4 linked regions of the Callithrix jacchus genome follow. The main gene of each other region encodes a partner of the protein of the gene in region 2 in a complex. Links are inferred from orthologs where the notes say so. Each region holds a gene or a part of one and is shown on either strand. Other genes may lie near its edges.

The links. Proteins that work in one complex are often made in the same cells at the same time.
Region 1: the proteins of KL (region 2) and FGFR1 are in contact, whole or in part, in a cryo-EM structure (PDB 7YSH), measured with the Homo sapiens proteins. The link is inferred for Callithrix jacchus from reciprocal best matches to the Homo sapiens genes KL and FGFR1. Residues at the interface, in NP_004786.2 of Homo sapiens: Ser539, Gln540, Phe541, Asp543, Leu544, Asn545, Val546, Tyr547, Leu548, Trp549, Asp550, Val551, Lys555, Arg556, Leu557, Val560, Val563, Thr565, Lys566, Arg568, Tyr571, Val573, Ala576, Glu625, Arg628; in NP_075598.2 of Homo sapiens: Asn272, Gln288, Leu290, His292, Ile293, Asn296, Gly301, Pro302, Leu305, Pro306, Tyr307, Val308, Gln309, Ile310, Leu311, Lys312, Glu322, Leu326, His327, Leu328, Arg329, Asn330, Glu334, Asp335, Thr340, Leu342, Leu349, His351.
Region 3: the proteins of KL (region 2) and FGFR3 are in contact, whole or in part, in a cryo-EM structure (PDB 7YSU), measured with the Homo sapiens proteins. The link is inferred for Callithrix jacchus from reciprocal best matches to the Homo sapiens genes KL and FGFR3. Residues at the interface, in NP_004786.2 of Homo sapiens: Ser539, Gln540, Phe541, Thr542, Asp543, Asn545, Val546, Tyr547, Leu548, Trp549, Asp550, Val551, Ser554, Lys555, Arg556, Leu557, Val563, Lys566, Arg568, Tyr571, Val573, Ala576, Pro580; in NP_000133.1 of Homo sapiens: Gln286, Leu288, His290, Val291, Val293, Gly299, Thr303, Pro304, Tyr305, Val306, Thr307, Val308, Leu309, Lys310, Glu320, Leu324, Ser325, Leu326, His327, Asn328, Val329, Glu332, Asp333, Thr338, Leu340, Phe347, His349.
Region 4: the proteins of KL (region 2) and FGFR4 are in contact, whole or in part, in a cryo-EM structure (PDB 7YSW), measured with the Homo sapiens proteins. The link is inferred for Callithrix jacchus from reciprocal best matches to the Homo sapiens genes KL and FGFR4. Residues at the interface, in NP_004786.2 of Homo sapiens: Ser539, Gln540, Phe541, Thr542, Asp543, Asn545, Val546, Tyr547, Leu548, Trp549, Asp550, Val551, His553, Ser554, Lys555, Arg556, Leu557, Ile558, Val563, Thr565, Arg568, Tyr571, Val573, Ala576, Gln579, Pro580, Glu625, Arg628; in NP_001341913.1 of Homo sapiens: Asp266, Gln282, Leu284, His286, Ile287, Ile289, Gly295, Ala296, Asp297, Gly298, Phe299, Pro300, Tyr301, Val302, Gln303, Val304, Leu305, Lys306, Asn311, Ser312, Glu314, Leu318, Tyr319, Leu320, Arg321, Asn322, Asp327, Thr332, Leu334, Leu341.

The regions. Positions count from the first base shown.
Region 1 is NC_133514.1:39,242,765-39,247,188, forward strand, and holds part of FGFR1 (fibroblast growth factor receptor 1), read right to left. Parts: intron 3,881-4,424; coding exon of another isoform or gene 3,880-3,880; coding exon 3,735-3,879; intron 3,499-3,734; coding exon 3,377-3,498; intron 2,940-3,376; coding exon 2,829-2,939; intron 2,097-2,828; coding exon 1,906-2,096; intron 986-1,905; coding exon 863-985; intron 714-862; coding exon 643-713; intron 371-642; coding exon 233-370; intron 97-232; coding exon 1-96. UniProt on the Homo sapiens protein: Tyrosine-protein kinase that acts as a cell-surface receptor for fibroblast growth factors and plays an essential role in the regulation of embryonic development, cell proliferation, differentiation and migration.
Region 2 is NC_133506.1:152,346,856-152,351,279, reverse strand, and holds part of KL (klotho), read right to left. Parts: intron 3,099-4,424; coding exon 2,588-3,098; intron 1,813-2,587; coding exon 1,544-1,812; intron 1-1,543. UniProt on the Homo sapiens protein: May have weak glycosidase activity towards glucuronylated steroids. However, it lacks essential active site Glu residues at positions 239 and 872, suggesting it may be inactive as a glycosidase in vivo.
Region 3 is NC_133504.1:191,353,353-191,357,776, forward strand, and holds part of FGFR3 (fibroblast growth factor receptor 3), read right to left. Parts: intron 898-4,424; coding exon 628-897; intron 380-627; coding exon 314-379; intron 1-313.
Region 4 is NC_133503.1:69,047,539-69,051,962, reverse strand, and holds part of FGFR4 (fibroblast growth factor receptor 4), read left to right. Parts: coding exon 1-53; intron 54-127; coding exon 128-273; intron 274-376; coding exon 377-498; intron 499-2,940; coding exon 2,941-3,051; intron 3,052-3,136; coding exon 3,137-3,327; intron 3,328-3,675; coding exon 3,676-3,798; intron 3,799-3,906; coding exon 3,907-3,977; intron 3,978-4,220; coding exon 4,221-4,358; intron 4,359-4,424. UniProt on the Homo sapiens protein: Tyrosine-protein kinase that acts as a cell-surface receptor for fibroblast growth factors and plays a role in the regulation of cell proliferation, differentiation and migration, and in regulation of lipid metabolism, bile acid biosynthesis, glucose uptake, vitamin D metabolism and phosphate homeostasis.

The sequences.
Region 1 (4,424 bases), on a different chromosome or scaffold from region 2:
GTCAAGGCCACTATGCGGTCCAGATCTTCCACCAGCTGCTTGAAGGTGGGTCTCTGCGAGGGCACTGCATGCCAGCAGTCCCGCATCATCATGTACCTGGGGCAGAACTGTAAGGTCAGGGAGGAAAGGCTGCCTCCTGGAGATGGACACCCTTTAGTATAGCCCCCTGCCCCTCAAGCCCATTCTTGCCCCAGGGCCTGGCTTGGGGCCTCCGACATCTCCTCAGACTTACAGCTCGTTGGTGCAGTTACTGGGCTTGTCCATGCGGTGACCCTCCTTCAGCAGCTTGAAAAGCTCCTCCACAGGCACACCGGGGTATGGGGAGCCGCCCAGAGTGAAGATCTCCCACAGGAGCACCCCAAAAGACCACCTGCAGACAGATGCAGAGCTATGGGTGTTAGAGCTTCTCTGCCTCCCCTCCTCCAGCACAAATCCTCCACCCAGGGCAGTGCCAGGAGACAGCGTGGGGAACAGATCATCCTTTCAACATCTGGAGCAGAGGCAATGGCCACAATGTTTTGCTTTTCTCTTGGGGCGAAAGGACTCCTCTGTCCAGGGGGAATGCAGGACTCTGCAGTGGTGGAAGTTCTTTATCCTTTCTTTATCCCACACCTCCCTGGCAACTGCTTATTGCAAACTCACACATCACTCTGGTGGGTGTAGATCCGGTCAAACAATGCCTCGGGTGCCATCCACTTCACAGGCAGTCGGCCCTGCAAGCAGCACCGGGGAGGTTGGGGTGGCCCCAGGCTGGGCCGTGACACAGGTGGGAAGGGACTGGGGGTGGGTTTTCAAGCCATCCCACCCACCCTTCGCTTCTCAGATGAAACCACCAGCATGGGGCGGCCCTGTTGGCACTCACGTTGGTTGTCTTTTTATAGTAGTCGATGTGGTGAATGTCCCGTGCGAGGCCGAAGTCTGCAATCTTCATCACGTTGTCCTCTGTCACCAGGACGTTCCTGGCGGCCAGGTCTCGGTGTATGCACTGAGGAAGGAGGAAGGGAGAGCAGGGGGAGGGGAGGGAGGTGAGGGAGCTGGAAGGCTCTGGGGGCCACCACCTGTGCAACTGGCCGACTTGCCTCACAGACTTCTGCCTACACTATTCTGCCCCGAACCTTTGCTTTCCCTTCTAGAATGTTCTCTGCCAGCTCCAGGCTTCTCAATCATCACAGCAAGTGCTCCTCCCTTCCCTCCCCGAAGGCTGGCCCTTTATGCCTCTGCTTTGTCTGACACTGCGCAGGTTCCTAGGTCTTGCCTCCCAGCAAAGCAAGTCCACACTGAGCTGGGCTCAAATCAAGCTAGCGCTTACACACCAAACACTGCACTCAATGCTCATCGTTTCATTTTATCCTCATAACAATTCTACAACATAGGTATTATTATACTTTTTTTTCTCCGAGACATAGTCGTGCTCTGCTGCAGTGGTATGATCATGGCTCATGCAGCCTCAAACTCCTGGGATCAAGTCAGCCTCCCACCTCAGCCTCCGGAGTAGCTGGGACTACTGGCACACAGTACCACACCCAGCTAACTTTGAAATTTTTTTTTTAAAGACAGGGTCTCACTGTTGTTGTCCAACCTTGTCTCAAACTCCTGAGCTCAAGCAATCCTCCTGCCTTGGCACTGCACCCAGCTGATGTTATTCTTATTTTGTACTTGAAGAATTATAAGAGGCTACACAGAAAATGGCAGTGTACAGATCTGACCCTACAGCAGTCTGACCCCAAGGCCACTTGGCTACACTGGTTCTCCTGACTCTGGTTGCCAGAGAGCCTAAGACAACGCACAGGGCCCGTGCTCAATGCATCCACAACGCCACCACAAGATGACAAGTCACAGGCTGGAGGACTGGGAGGGCTCTGTTCCCACCCCAGCAATACCCAGGGGAGCTTTCAGGGTCCACACCTTCTTGGAGGCCAGATACTCCATGCCTCGGGCCACCTGATAGGCGCAGGACACCAGGTCCTTGGAGGAGAGCTGCTCCTCTGGGTTGTGGCTGGGGTTGTAGCAGTATTCCAGCCCCGGGGGCCTCCGGGCCTGCAGGTACTCCCGCAGGTTGCCTTTGGAGGCATACTCCACGATGACATACAAGGGACCTGCGGACATAGGAGGAAGAGGCCATGCAGCCGGCAGCAGGTGAGCATGTTTGGCATCACCTCATGGAAACCCCACCCCCAGCAGCACACCCCAGCCAACCTCCCCTCTCCTGCCTCCTTTTAGGGGACCTGGGAAATCCATTCTACCACCCTAAGAAAACCAGATAAATAGTTATTCCTGGCATAGTCCAGAAATTTCCCAAGCAATGTTGGGATAAGAGCCTGTTTATTTATTTTTGAGATGGAGTCTCGCTCTGTCACCCAGGCTGGAGTGCAGTGGTATAATTTTCGGCTCACTGCAACCTCCGCCTTACAGATTCAAGTGATTCTCCTGCCTCAGCCTCCCAAGTAGCTGGGATTACTGTCATGCACCATGCCGCCTGGCTAACTTGTATTTTTAGTAGAGATGGGATCTTGTTAGCCATGCTGGTCTCAAACTCCTGATCTCAAGTGATCCTCCCACCTCAGCTTCCCAAAGTGCTGTGATTACAGGCATGGCCACTGTACCCAGCCTGAGCACCCTAATTTAGACCATAATTACTCAGCTGTCTCTGTTAACACACCATGTGTGTGAATCTAGGTATCTGTATTCTTCGATGAACACATATGGGCTGAGCCCAGACCCCAAGAAACACATTTTAACCTCTGCCAAAGCAGCCTCTCAACCCCCTTCCCTAACAGCTCAGACCTTCTGCCTGCTGGGGAGGGAAGGCCAGCCTGGCCGGGACCCACCATCCTGCGTGCAGGCCCCCAGTAGGTTGATGATGTTCTTATGCTTCCCGATCATCTTCATCATCTCCATTTCTGAGATCAGGTCTGACAAGTCTTTCTCTGTTGCATCCGCTTTAAAGAACATGTTGAGACTCATTTACTTTTGGAAGGGAGGAGGGCAGGAGAAAGGCTAAGGTAGAGGGGTATGTTCCGAGGGGCCGCTTTTCTCTTGGACTTGATTCTCTCCTCCCCACTTCCACCTTCCCTCTCATGGGAGTTGTTGCAATAGGTGGTAGTGAGCGGGGAGGGATGTGGGGAGAAATGTCAGCAACTGATAGATCCAGGATAAAAACCTAACCATAGCCCAGGTTGATGCCAAGAAACAGAGTGAGGTCACAGAACAATCTCAGGGTGCAGAACACCCCCTCCACTCCCAGGTAACCCCAAGCAGGCAGGGGAGCAGGTGTGGGCAGCAAAAGCACCAGAGAAGCTGCTCTGCTGGGCCTGAGGCTTGCTGTTTGCTTGGAATGGGACAAGATTGTCTCTGCAAGGACAGAAGCATCACTTACACTTCAACATCTTCACAGCCACCTTGGTCACACGGCTGGGTTTGTCCTTGTCCAGTCCGATGGCCTCTGCCAATACCACCTGCCCAAAGCAGCCCTCTCCCAGGGGTTTTCCTAAGACCAGTCTTTCAGGGAAAACAGACAGCGGCATTAAGTTGGGGCTGGTGAAGTTCAAACTTTGAGAGGCACCCCATCTCCACTTCTGTATTTCACCCAACTTCGAGCAGAAAATGGAAATGAATGTTTCTGCAGGCATTTCACACACCTTCACTGCCCTGAAGGTGTTAGTATACACACCTTCTACCACTAGAATAGCAAGCAAAGGATGCCTTCAAAAAGTTAGGAGTTAAAGCATTGTTACCTGTCCCGAGGCAGCTCCCAGCGAGGGTCTTCGGGAAGCTCATACTCAGAGACCCCTGCTAGCATGGGAGTCCCACTGGAGGAGAGCCGTGATGGCCGAACCAGAAGAACCCCAGAGTTCATGGACGCACTGGAGTCAGCGGACACCTGCAAGGAAGAGTGGGGTCACCCTAGAGCAAGGAGCGGGGACAAGGGCGACTCCTTTCCATTCCTAGTCAGGGCTTCCCAACAATGGCAGAGGCACGTTTCTGTGTATCTCATGTTCTTTCAGCAATACAGAGTGGTCCGAAGACCACAGGAGGCCCAACTTCTAGGACTGACCTATTTCTGCCACTGGCTGGCCTTTCTGGATTTCACTGACCTTTAAAATAAGCAGATCAAATGCACCTCTTCCAGCTTGATACTTTATTACTGATCACTGCAGTAACAACTCTATTCTCACAACTCTGCAAATACTTTGCCTTAGCTTATGGACTCCAAACTCCCAAAGCACCTTCCAGAATGAGCATAGGCTTCTGAGGGAATGGTCATTCTTGCACACACCTGTACCTAACAGTTTCCTTCCATGGGGAAGGGTGGGCACACAGGAGGACAAGGGGATAGTATGGTATGGCTGATATGGTTGCTGTGTCCCCACCCAAATCTCATCCTGAATTCCCACGTGTTGTGGGAGGGACCTGTTTTTGGTGGG
Region 2 (4,424 bases):
GAGCAGGCAGAAGGTTAAGAGATAGAACAAGGACCAGGGACCATCAATCTATCCCCGACCCCAGTAAAGAGGAGGAGGAAGGAGGGCTTTGGAGGCCTTCTTCCCTTTCTCCTTCTCCTCTTCTTCCTCATCAGCCACACTTCTCCCACCTCAGATCCTCTCTGAATCCCACAGTGGAATCCACTCTGAGGAGGGAAATTAGGATAAGAAGATTCCAAATAGCAGGAGGCTGTGGGAGAAGGAGAGAGATGGAGCAGGGCAGAAAATCATACACTGAGCAGGAGGGAGCTCAGAAGCCTTTCTCCTGGGCTCACATATCCTAGCATAAAAGATGACATATCCAGTCATCTTTTAAATGGAAGGCGAGGGCTTAGGTCTGAGACTGCCTGTAAAATGAACTGGATGGTCTAAAAAAGAAGAAGAATCCCAGACAGCAAAAAATGTATTAAGGATAGTGTTAATTTATTTCCTTGTAAATAAAAAATTTCAATTTGACATTTGCAAGAAAACAGCAACCCATTTTACATCCTTCCAAGTGTTTCCTTTCAAGCTGTGATTTGCAGAACCAACGAACTGGCTACCATAACCCAACATGCCAAAGCCAACTGCTTGTCTATGGACACTGAACTCTGTCTCTGTCTTGAGGGCCATTTTCACACTTGGGACTCTATCAGCAGCAATCCCCCAGCCCCACCCCGGTTACTTACCACCATGCCGCATTCACTCCATCGCACCATTTGCGCATGCATAGTTTTTCTCATTGGACTCCTTTGCTCCTTTGAAAGCAAAGGTTGCCCTTACACTTCTCAGTGTACCCTCTACTGCACTCCCCTTAACCAAGAGACCCCAGCAACTAACACAAGGCTTTGGACACACTAGATATCCAGTAAGTGCTTACTAGCGCATCCAATCAAATGCCGAAAAACACGTCCCTTCAAAATTTGGGACTTTTATTAAGGGCTTACAACAGGAGTAGATGCTCAATACATATTGGTGGATCATTGTGAAGAAATTTCATACCATTTCAATGACTACTGCTAAAAAAGACATTCTGACGAGCGAATCATCGGATCCAGGGTTTAGTTTTTGGGGGTATTTCTGCACATGTGTGGGGTCTACAGTTGTGCCTCTGCAGGACTCTCCCTAATGTTCCTGCCACAGTTTCAGCAGCACCACTGAAATTCGGAGGCTTTGGAGTTCTGTGTTAGATTCTGTTCATGAAAAAATTCAACTGCTTTAAAAAGGATCAAAAACCACAGTATGAAAAAAGAGTGTTTTATCTTTTTACTGTCTTAGTCGGATCTTAAACATTTGCATGTTTTAAATTGATTTCCCTTTGGATCTAACTTAACAAGATGAAGACTGGAAGATTTTTGGAGAGAAGGGTGCAGCATTCCAAACTGTGCCCCTACTGTGCTCATAAGGAATCGCTTTGGGCTCAAAAAGTGGACAGTGTGTCATGACAATCCGCCTAGGAAGGAAGCACTACTTACTAGAGACAGGGCTTGGTGACACTGCTGATTGGTTTTGTCAGCTGACTTACTTGAATGTAGTTGTCAACAATTCCCCAAGCAAAGTCACAGGGAAATGTCCCTTCTATGGGTCGATTCTCAGGTAAAGGAGGAAAGCCATTTTTCTCTATCAGCTTTTGGTAGAATAAGGCTGAAGACTTTGGCAACGACGTCTTGTTGTGGCTTAGAAAATCGACATAGAAGAGTCCACGCCTGATGCTGTAACCTCTGTGCCACTCAAAACCATCCATGAGTGACCATGCAGTGTACCCGATGACATCCACCCCATCCAGCTTGATGGCTGCAAAGGGAAGAGGGGACAAGAGCAACATGACCCTTTGCTGGGCACTTGCATCGTGATTCAAGAGCATCTGAGCGTTCTCCTTAAATAAATAAAAGGTAAGGCTTCTTGTTTGGTAAATCAGTGATTTTTCTTCTTGACAAAAGACTCTAATTAAACCCATATAACTCTACAAATAAATGCCCTCAAAATAGGTTTATCTCCAATACGTTTTTTGGATTCCTGAGCCCCTTGATGGAATAGTTCCTTATACATAATAGATGTTCTACAACCTAGGAAAGACATCTTGTACCAAGACGTCTATCCTAGACACCCAGTATTGTGCCTGACACCATAAATAAACAAAGGCTTTAAACGCATGCTCCATTTATGCTATTTTGCTATTTTCTTTAGGAAACATGGACATTCCTTCTTCTTTAAAGAGTGTTTTATTCAACCAAAATAACAAGAACTGGAAAACATGCGCAGAGAGCTAGATATCCTGGGATTTATTTTATGTTTGATTTAATCTAAAAATCTAGAGTAGTAACTCTGAAAGTTAAGTAATTACAAATATTATAACCCAATTTCTCATTTATAAGTGGGTGTTTAAAAATTAACTCACGTTCCTCAAGATTCCAAATGAGAAAGGTGGTACATGAATGCATTCCTACTATTGCCAAAATACATGTCTTCATTAGGATTTAAAAATATAAATTCACATGGTTTATATTAGATAATCTTCATAAACGATTAAGATTTTGGCAGGAAATGAGAACTTTACCCACAATCATACCTTTCAAGGTTTCCATGATGAACTTTTTGAGGTAATACATACATTTGGCATCATCTCTCTTGGTGGTCCCTGAGACAAACCAGCCATTTTCCACAATAAATATTTGAGGATGATTATATTCAAGATCAATCCAGGAAAGCAGTTGCCTCAGGCTGGGAGATTCCAATTGGTGGAATTTCATGTGAGGGTCCACAAGTTGATAGCTCAAGGTCGGTCCAAAGGAAAGAGCAAAAAAGTCAGCAGTTCCATTGACGAATTTTTTCTCAGATTCAGTAAAATTAGGCAGAAGAGATGAAAGGTTATTCTTCATGCTCTCGGGATAGTCACCATCGATAAATATGGGTTTGGCAAACCAGCCTAGTACAAAATCCAGAGATTTTTGACATTCTTTGATGTTGTGGTTGGTCATACTTTGAGGAATGATCCAGTGAGAGCTTAGGGCAATGGACACCTGGCCTCCCTGAGTGGGACGGAAAGAAGTATTGTAGAGATGCCAGATTTTGGCATGAGCCTATGAAGGGAAAAATGATGGCAAATTTATCTCTAGTTGTGAGGAGAAATGCAACATAATACTTGAATCCCCAATTCAATTTATATACATTTCTCATCAAGCCTAACTTGATGACTAACAATGTAAGAATCAGCTAGAATCAATAAATTACTTCAAAGGTAGGTCACCCCACAGTAAGCTGCTACCAGGACTAGAGTTACTTCCATTGGTTTTTAGCCATCAGTGGAAAAAACTTAAAATCCCTGGGTTGAGGGTGTAGTTACCCACAGTTTGAAAGACTAACGAAATAAAAGAATTTGTTATAATATCTTACTATTTAACTGACTTTGGATTATGTAATTTTTAATTTACAGGTTTTGTGGAAATGCCACATCAGTGATCACATCAAGAATTTCTAAATAGGATTATATTTTTTATCCTGAGCTTGGGAGTTTTCAAAATGACTCAGGCTATTGGAGTCAATTTAATATTTCATAGTCATCTCTCAGAGCTACAGTTCTAACAAGCAATCTTCATTCTTCCCTAAGAAGAATCAGCACAACAAATTAAATAACCCACTCCAGTATCTAACCTTGGCCTACCCTCCAGAACCCTGGGACGGTGCTGGTTTCCCACAGGCCTAGGGTACAAGGTACAAGCCAAGAGCACAAAACAGCAGAATACAGCTGTGAGGAGATCAGATGTCCATAGTTAGCATGCAGCCAAGAGTTTCGTACAGCAATGAAAAGGGCTTTGCGTCCATAAAACCAACTTTATACTCCTGTAAATTCTTACTAACATCTGATATCTTATTTTCATTTGTTTTCTTTTTACCTACAAAGAAGAGTGAAAATTATAGGGTTTTTTTCTCCCCTACTCGAAGTGAGTTTCTCTTTCCCTTTGAATTCCTTGATTCACTCTCCCTATTTTCCTACAAATACAAGTGTTATTTATCAGCCTTTATTCCCTAACATATCCTCTTTGAAAACTCCATTCTGATTTTCTGTTTGACTCCATATATTCTCCAAAATGATCGTGCCAATTTTATTCCACTCCCTGGTCCTGCAGAAACTCCTTTGTTCATTAAGCCAAATAGCCTCTTCAACATATCCTAAATATTCCTCTTGTGGTTTATTTCAGTACAGGCATCCAAGAATGCCTCATCAACATTCTTATGTGTTCAGCCAAACATTTCAATGGAATAAGATAGTTTATGGCTAACTTTTCTTTTTAGTTTTTTAGTGAACATCTACTGTTTCATTTCACTGAATGTATTTTTTCACGACCTGAAGCAACTATCTATATTCCAAGAAGGAAATGGAGAATCAAATGTTGATCCAAAGAATA
Region 3 (4,424 bases), on a different chromosome or scaffold from region 2:
TGTCTCACCCACAGCCAGCACCAGAGCCCCACAGGCCAGTCCTGGCCTCCTCCAGCTCCTGGAACCCCCAGGGCCCTGTGCCTGTCTCCCTATCAGCAACACGGGTATCCCTTCACACCCCAGCCCTGCCACCAGGGAGCCAGGGCTGGGCGTCCAGAGCCATCTCAGTGGCCCAGCCCCTCCTGCATCCTGAGGAGACCTGACCTTCGGGGTGACCCCAGGGACCTCGGTCCCTCAGCTGCTTGTGGAGGGCAGGGCTTAGTGGTGGCAGCAGGCCCCACCCTGGCCAGCCTGAACCCGACCCTGCTCCCACCTGTGTCCGCACCTGTGTCCTCAGCCTCATCCTCTCCGTCTTCATCATCTCCTGAAGATGGAACGTCTACAAGGCAGAGACAGCTGCTTCCAGTGCCCGACCTGCCCCAGGAGGCCCCCAGGTGCCCCTCCCAGGTGAGACAGGGTCCCCCATTCGGGCAGCACTTCCTGGGGGTGCCTTCCTCTCCACCAATGACCCTTGGGGCAGGGGTGCTGCAGCCCCGTGGCCGAGACACCCAGCGGCTCTTGGCCCTCGTGGGGACTCAGGGAGCCCAGCACCCACTCCCTTCTGCAGCTGGCTGGCCCAAAGCTCACCTGCCACCCGCACGCTGAAGCGGCACAGCACGTTCTGTGTGAGGCGCTGCTGGCAGCTGTAGGCCCCAGAGTCCTCCTGTGAGGCGTTCAGCACCAGCAGGCGCTGGGGCCCCACCAGGATGCGGTCCGAGGGCACCAGCCCTGCGCCATCCTTGACCCAGACCGTGGGCCCCACAGGACCACCTCTGGGCGGGGGACAGCTCAGCTCCACCGCGTCCCCGCTGCCGAAGACCAACTGCTCCTGCTGGCCGGGCTCCAGGCCTGGGACCTCTGCAGGCGAGACCCGTGACCATGAGGCAGGTACCCCCAAACCCGGCACATTTATAGACACAGTAGTGGAGGCCTCAGTGGCCCTGACCCAGATCTGGGGTCCCACCAGACCAGGGGCTGGAGCTGAGCCCCAAAAGGGCCAGAGGTCTCCATCTTCAGCTTTGCCAGCCGGTCTCTGTGCCAAGGACTTGGGTCTGCCTTGGTGTGGTAGCCGCTGTGCCCACACAAGCTGCAGCCAACCCAGGGCCGCGCCTCCACAAAGCTTCACTTTTGGACACGGGGAATTCGAATCTCAAAGCACCACAGAGTGCAACTCTTCATTCTTTTGATTTGTTCAACTGCTTTGAAACATAAAATCCATGCTTGGCTCACAGGTGGCCCCACGGCCACAGGTCCTGGGGACAAAGGGGACAGGCTGCCCTTTGCTGGCTCCCCGCTGAGATGAAGCTCAGAAGGGGTGCCAGGGTGGCCAGCCAGCCCCCTGGCAGTGCAGATGCACCCAAGGAGGGGTCCCTCTCAGCAGCCCCCATACCCTGTATGTGCCTGAGGTGGAGTTCAGATGTCAACAAGGGAAGAGAACGGACGAGAAAGGAGGTGCAGGGTCAGACGGCTGAGTGGACGAAGCCGGGGGCAGCGGGCAGGTTCACCAGGCAGAGCCAGGCTGGAGCAGTGCGAGGTGGCGGGGCGGGGGCAGGGGCTCCCTGGCATGGATAGGGTTCTGCATCCTACAGCTCCTGGGTAAGCTCCACACTGACCACCACAGAAAACACACAGAGAAAAGCAAAGTACAACACGACGCCGGGGCCAGCCCAGTGGGTCCATGGGCTGGGGGCTGGGAGTGGGACGCCCTCACAGGAGAGGACCAGGCTGGGGACAGGAAGCTGTGAGAGACACAGGCGGTGCCACAGGGCAGCAGCCCCGGCCCCTCCCCGGGGGCTGAGAAGCTGGGGTGGGGGCCCACACACAGGGGCAGATGTGCAGGTGGCCCTGGCCCCCTCCCCCTGCCCAGTAGCTACCCAGTTCCCGAGGGCCACCAAAGCCTGTGACCCAAGGACACACCACAGGTGGGGCTGGGGGACCATCACCCCTAGGTCCCCTGCCAGGGCCAGATAACGCATGCAGGCGGGTGGTCTGGGCTTGGGGCCGGGGCGGGGGCGGCTGGTCCCCCAGGCAGCGTCCTCCTTCAGACCCAGCTGGGCCGCTTGCGCCATCACTTGTCATTCTGCAGATGCGTGGCCTAGATTTGGGGGCCCAGCTGCCCACGCTGGCCACACCAGTCCCTGGCTGCCTGGCCAGGCCCAATTCTGCCCAATCCACCGAAGCCAGCCGCACGCCCCCAGTACCCAGAGTGACCCTATCAACCGGAAGGGCCACACTCATCCCCGGAAGCATCCAAGGGAGCCCTCGCGCCACAGGGACCCACAGCTCCTGGACTGCCCCTGTGAGGACCCCACAGTCAGAGGGGCACCTGGCCTGACCTCCAGCCCTCTGGCCCTGGCCAGTGTCTTGTGGGGACCACCCAGAGCTGGGAGCTGTCTGAAGCTCCCCAGAAGGCCGGGAACAGGCTGGTCATGGCAGCCGCAGCTGCAGGCCCTGGCCCAAAGGCAACAGCCTGCTGGTTCCGGTTTGGTCTGGGTGGTGACAACAGGTCAAGCCATCCGCACAAGTATTCGCTTCAGCCTGGTCCAGCGGGGGACGGGGGACACAGCAGCACCAGGCCAGCCATGCTGGTGGCCATCTGCCTGTGTCGGGGGAGGGGGGAGGGTGGAGCCCTGAATGCCCCCCGCCTGCCTGCTTGGTGCCAGCAGAGGCCAGGGCACCCCAGCAGGGGCTGACTGGGGAACACCAGGTGAAAGACTGTGAGACAGGAACAGGGGTGGGGGACACTAAGAGCTCAGGGCCTCACTCTCCCTGGGGAGTCAGCAGTTGAGTGGAGCCCCCATGCCCCATCCAGCTGCCAGGCAAGGGGCAACTATATCCCCCCAGTGGCCCCAAGAAGGGTTATTTCTTTCTTGACCAACAAAAGGGGGACCCCACTGGCACCACAAAAGCACTGGTGCCCACACACGCCCAAGAAAAAACTCCTGCATACCCAAGGCGGGGCAGGGGGCCACAACCCGCATCACCCACCCATCTACACATCACAAACCCACACAGTGCCCACCTCAACCTGGGCCCCACGTGCTGGGAACAGCCCTCTGCTGTGTCCCAAAAGGGCCGTGCTGGACCTGGGGGGGCATGGTCCTGTGCCTCAGTTTCCCCACTGTGGCACAATATAAAATCCCACCTCACAGACCACAGGGGCCGCCACACCCTGCTAAGTGGCTGGAGGAGCGAGGGGTGACAGGCACTCCCTGCCCAGGGCCCCTTGACCCGGAACTGATGTCCATCAGGCCACGGTGTTGGCGACAGTCACACTCCGGCCTGGGGAACCTTTCTCCAGGTTCTGGGGCACTGCAGAGGAGGCCCAGTGCATGTGGGGAGCCCGGGTGAGAGGGTTGGGGAGCACTGCTCCATCATAAGCCCCTTGGATTGGCCCCAGAGAGCAAGGATGAAATTCAGACTCCAGTCCAGAGCTGGCTACCCCGAGGGGTTTACTTGGGTTTTGGGGTAAGCTGAGGGCCTGGGGTCAGGGAACCCCACGTTCTGGTTTTGGATGCACATGAAGCGCTCTGCAGCTCTCTGGGGTACAGAAGTATTGCCAGGTAAGGGCTATAACATAGCCTAAGAGAATGAGGTGCCTGGAAAAACCTGGAAGCCAAAAGCAAGAGTCCAGCCTCCCTTCCTGTCTACCTGTAGACATTCCTGTCAGCTTCACAATAAAGACGGGAAAACAGGGATCCGAAGCTGGGCACGCTAATGACAGCTCGCCAGGATTCTCAGGCCTAATCCTTCAAGCAGCCAGCCACTACGGCTTCTCTTGGACAGGTGGGGAAACCGAAGTTTCAAGACGGTACCCGAGCCTGGGCTGGCAGCCTGGAGGTCCAGGCTAACCCCCACACTCCACCAAAGCTGGCTCCACTCCCCACTCATTCACTCCTAAATCACTCAGCTCAGGGCTGCTGCCTTTCTAGACAGGGCGACTTTGGACCCCCATCCTCCAGGAGACACCAAGCCCCTGGGCTCCCACCCAAGCTCAACTGTAACAAGGGGTGCCCCAGCCCCAGTTCTAGCCCCAAGTGAGACCTGAGGGCTGGGGGTGGGGGGTGGGTAAACAGGGGTTGCTACGCTCAAACAAGGACCCGGAGGCCAGGCTCGGCCCGAGTTAATGAACCACCCAGAGGCCCACGCGGCTCAAAGTCCAGCCCTGGAAAGGAGGGGTAGGGGAGGTGGGGTAGGGGAGGTGGCCACCAGCACCTTAGGGAAAGGCCCTGCACCCCCAGGTCCCAACCAGGAACACGGTCCCCTGGCGAGATGGAGGCTGCCCTGGCCGGGCATGTGGTGGCTCAGGCAGTCCAGCGGCCAAAACCTTCCCCACTGCCCTTGACTCCTGCCAGCTCAGGCTCCACAATTTATGTTCCTGGGCA
Region 4 (4,424 bases), on a different chromosome or scaffold from region 2:
CCCGCCAGCCTGCCACTGTGCAGAAGTTGTCCCGCTTCCCTCTGGCCCGACAGGTATTGGGCGCATCCCCCACCTTGTGTGTTGCAGCCTGACTCTAGCAGGCAGAACCAAGTCTCCCACTTTGCAGTTCTCCCTGGAGTCAGGCTCCTCCGGCAAGTCAAGCTTATCCCTGGTGCGAGGTGTACGTCTCTCCTCCAACGGCCCTGCCTTGCTCGCCGGCCCCGTGAGTCTAGACCTACCTCTCGACCCACTATGGGAGTTCCCCCGGGACAGGTGCGCTGAGCTGTGTGGGGGCGGGGACACGGGCGCTGGGTTGCAACCCACCCTTATCAGGAGTGATTCGGAGGTCTGAGGCATGCACTCTCTCCATCTCCAGGCTGGTGCTTGGGAAGCCCCTGGGCGAGGGCTGCTTTGGGCAGGTAATATGTGCAGAGGCCTTTGGCATGGACCCTGCCCAACCTGACCAAGCCAGCACTGTGGCCGTCAAGATGCTCAAAGGTGAGTGTGGCTGGGTGCAGTGACTCACACCTGTAATGTCAGCCCTTTGGGAGGCCAAGGTAGGAGGAGGATTGCTTGAATCCAGGAGTTTGAGGTAGCCTGGGCAATATGGTGAGACTCCATCTCTACAAAAAGAGTAAGAAAATTAGCTGAGTGTAGCGGTATGTACCTTTAGTCCCAGCTGCTAGGAAGGCTGAGGCAGGAGGATCCTTTGAATCCAGGAGTTGGAGGTTGCAATGAGCCATGATCAAGTCACAGTATTCCACCCTGGGCAACAGAGTGAGACCCTTTCTAAAAATAAATAAATAAAAATAGGCCAGACGCAATGGCTCATGTCTTTGTAATTCCAGCATTTTTGGAGGCTGAGGCGGGCGGATCACGAAGTCAGGAGTTTGAGACCAGCACATCTCTACTAGAAACAGAAAAATTTTAGGCCAGGCACAGTGGCTCACGCCTGTAATCCCAGCACTTTGGGAGGCTGAGGCAGATGGATCATGAGGTCAAGAGATCAAGACCATCCTGGCCAACATGATGAAATCCTGTCTCTACTAAATATACAAAAATTAGCTGGGCATGGTGGCACACACCTGTAGTTTCAGCTACTCGGGAGGTTGATGCAGTAGAATCATTTGAGCCTGGAAGGCAGAAGTTGTAGAGACCCAAGATCACGCCACTGCACTCCAACCTGGTGACAGAGCGAGACTGTCTCAAAAAAACAAAAAAATTAGCCAGGCGTGGTGGTGGTCACCTGTAATCCCAGCTACTCTGGAGGCTGAGGCAGGAGAATCACTTAAACCCAGGAGGCAGAGGTTGCAGTGAGCTGAGACCATGCCATTGCACTCCAGCCCGGGCAACAGAGGGAGACTCCGTCTCAAAAAAAAAAAAAAAAAAAGAGAGAGAAAAGAAAAATAAAAGGTGAATGTGACAGCCTGGAGGCGGTGCTATGGCACTGGGGCTCACGGTGCTACCAGGTGAACCTTGGAGCTGGGAGAGGCTGCAGGATCCCACCCTTAAGCCTGCAATTCAACTCCACTCCTGACCCTGGCAAGTGACTTCTGACCCTCAGTTTCCCCTCGTGTCATGTAGAGTAAATAATGGTCCCTATCTCCCAGCTCAAGAATTGGGGAAAATGCCTGGCTTACAGTCAAGGCCCAATAAATCACCACTGGGGTGGCGATGATGATAAGAATTTGGTGTGACAGGCTTGATATCCCCTGTCAGCATTGGTCTGTGTCAGCCTTGACTTCACATCTCCTTGTCAGCCTCACAGGCCCTCTACCTCCTTCTCCATGGTTCCCCCCAGACACACGCTTAGCTTCCCTTAGATCCTCTCTAGGTGTATCCCCTGCGTCCACTGCTGTAGGAGGACAGCCCTTCTGCTTGCACCCAGTCCAGCCCCAGGGTGCTCTTGCAGAGCAGTCTTGCATGCTGCCCATCAGGGCCTCTTGTTCCAGTTCCCCAGCCCCCTCTGCAAGAATGCCCTCAACTCCTCTTCTGCTCCTCCCCTCCTCTCTACACAGCTGGGGCCACCTGGTGTTCCCTGGGAGGCAGGGATTGAGAAATGTGCATGGTGAGATTGGCGTGTGTGGGTGGGGGGTGTTATGTCATTGGCCCAGGGCCACAGTTCAGCCCCAAGGGTCTAGCCAGAGAAGCCAGAGCAGCCTTCTTCCCAAGCTCCCCTGGCTACACCCTGCCTGCCAATAGCTTCCTGAATTCCAGGCCAGTTGGATGCCAGGCCCTGGTCAAACAGACCCCAGGGCGCCAACCTGCTTTCCACATGCAGGAACTTTGACCCCATGCAGAGACTACTGCCAGCCCCTCCAGAGGCAGCTTGCTTCCTGCTCCAAGCTCTTCCCTCTCTCCTGTTTCCTGGACCTGCCCACTGGAGGACCTGCCTTTTTTTTTTTGAGATGGAATCTCTCTCTGTCCCCCAGGCTGGAGTGCAGCGGTATGATCTCAGCTCACTGCAACCTCTGCCTCCTGGGTTCAAGCAATTCTCCTGCCTCAGCCTCCTGAGTAGCTACAGGCATGCACCACCATGCCCAGCTAATTTTTCTATTTTTAGTAGGGTCAGGGTTTCACCATGTTGGTCAGGCTGGTCTCGAACTCCTGACCTCGTGATCCACCTGCCTCAGCCTCCCAAAGTGCTGAGATTACAGGTGTGAGCCACTGCACCCGGCCCTAGGCCTGCCTCTTATATCCTTGATAAAATGGCATCCTTGAAACTGCTGTGACAGGTAGGGTGTGAACCACTGCTCCATTTCCCACAAGACGACCCTGAAATTCAGAGATGCTAGGAGACTTTTTCAAGGCCACACAGCCTAGCAAGGATTGTGGCCTAGGTGACCCCTAGGTCCAGTGCTCCTTGTCCTGGCCCTGCCTCTGCAGTCTCCCTCATGTAGTTGGAGGGCAGCTTCTTCACCCCGTCTGCTGCCTTTGCAGGCAATGCTTCTGACAAGGACTTGGCAGACCTGGTCTCAGAGATGGAGGTGATGAAGCTGATTGGCCGACACAAGAACATCATCAACCTGCTGGGTGTCTGCACCCAGGAAGGTGGGGCAGAGGCGGGGCTGGTGGCATGGGCCATTAGGGCTCAGAGCCACAGCTTTGGCAGCCTCTCCGTGCACTCCCTCCGTAGGGCCCCTGTATGTGATCGTAGAGTGCGCCGCCAAGGGAAACCTGCGGGAGTTCCTGCGGGCCCGGCGCCCCCCAGGCCCCGACCTCAGCCCTGACGGTCCTCGAAGCAGTGAGGGGCCACTGTCCTTCCCAGTCCTGGTCTCCTGCGCCTACCAGGTGGCCCGAGGCATGCAGTATCTGGAGTCTCGGAAGGTATAGGCGGTGGGGCTCTGGGCCTCTGTCAATCTCTCCATCTCCACTCTTAGGCCTGTGGCATTAAATGTCCCCAGCTTCTCCCTCTCTGCTCTTTTTCATTACCCCACCTCAATGTCCCCAAGCTTTCACACCTTCCCAAATTCCCCACTTGTTCCTCACACTTGCCTCGCCCATAGGCTCGGAGAGGGGAGAAGGGATGCAGGAGTGGGTGCTCCCCCTTTCTAAACCTCAACCTCTATCTGTAAAGTGGGTGGAGGGCCCCTTCCCCCAGGCCTGCTGGTGGGTGGTGTGTGCTCAGCTCCCATCCAGGAGTCCTGTTGCACGCAAACTCTTCCTCCCCCGCAGTGTATCCACCGGGACCTGGCTGCCCGCAATGTGCTGGTGACCGAGGACAATGTGATGAAGATTGCTGACTTTGGGCTGGCCCGGGGTGTCCACCACATTGACTACTATAAGAAAACCAGCAATGTGAGGGAGATGGGCAGAACTGGATGGGGGTAGAGATAGGGCTGGGCCTGGGGCTGGCAGGCTTGGGGACCTGTGGGACTCTGTACTGAGGCCTCCGCTCCTCTCCAGGGCCGCCTGCCTGTTAAGTGGATGGCGCCCGAGGCCTTGTTTGACCGAGTGTACACACACCAGAGTGACGTGTGAGTCCTGCCAGCCGTTACTGTCCTACCCCAGAAAAAGGGCAAAACACTGCCCAGTCACATGGCCCCAGGAGTCAGGTGCTCAAGGGCTCCTTCAGATTTGGCCTGGGACCCGAGTGGGACCAGCCTCGGGGGAGTCCATTCCTCACCAGCTGTGGTGGGTTGTACCTGTGGGGTTCCTCCATCCTAACCTTGGTTGTAGGGAGGACGCTGAGCCCCACTGAGCCCTGGCCCTGTCTCCAGGTGGTCTTTTGGGATCCTGCTGTGGGAGATCTTCACCCTCGGGGGCTCCCCATACCCTGGCATCCCAGTGGAGGAGCTGTTCTCACTGCTGCGTGAGGGACATCGGATGGACCGGCCCCCACATTGCCCCCCAGAACTGTGAGGCCTTATCCTGCCCCTGCCGCCAACTTTCCAATCCTCCTCCTTCGCCCTGACCATGGCCTC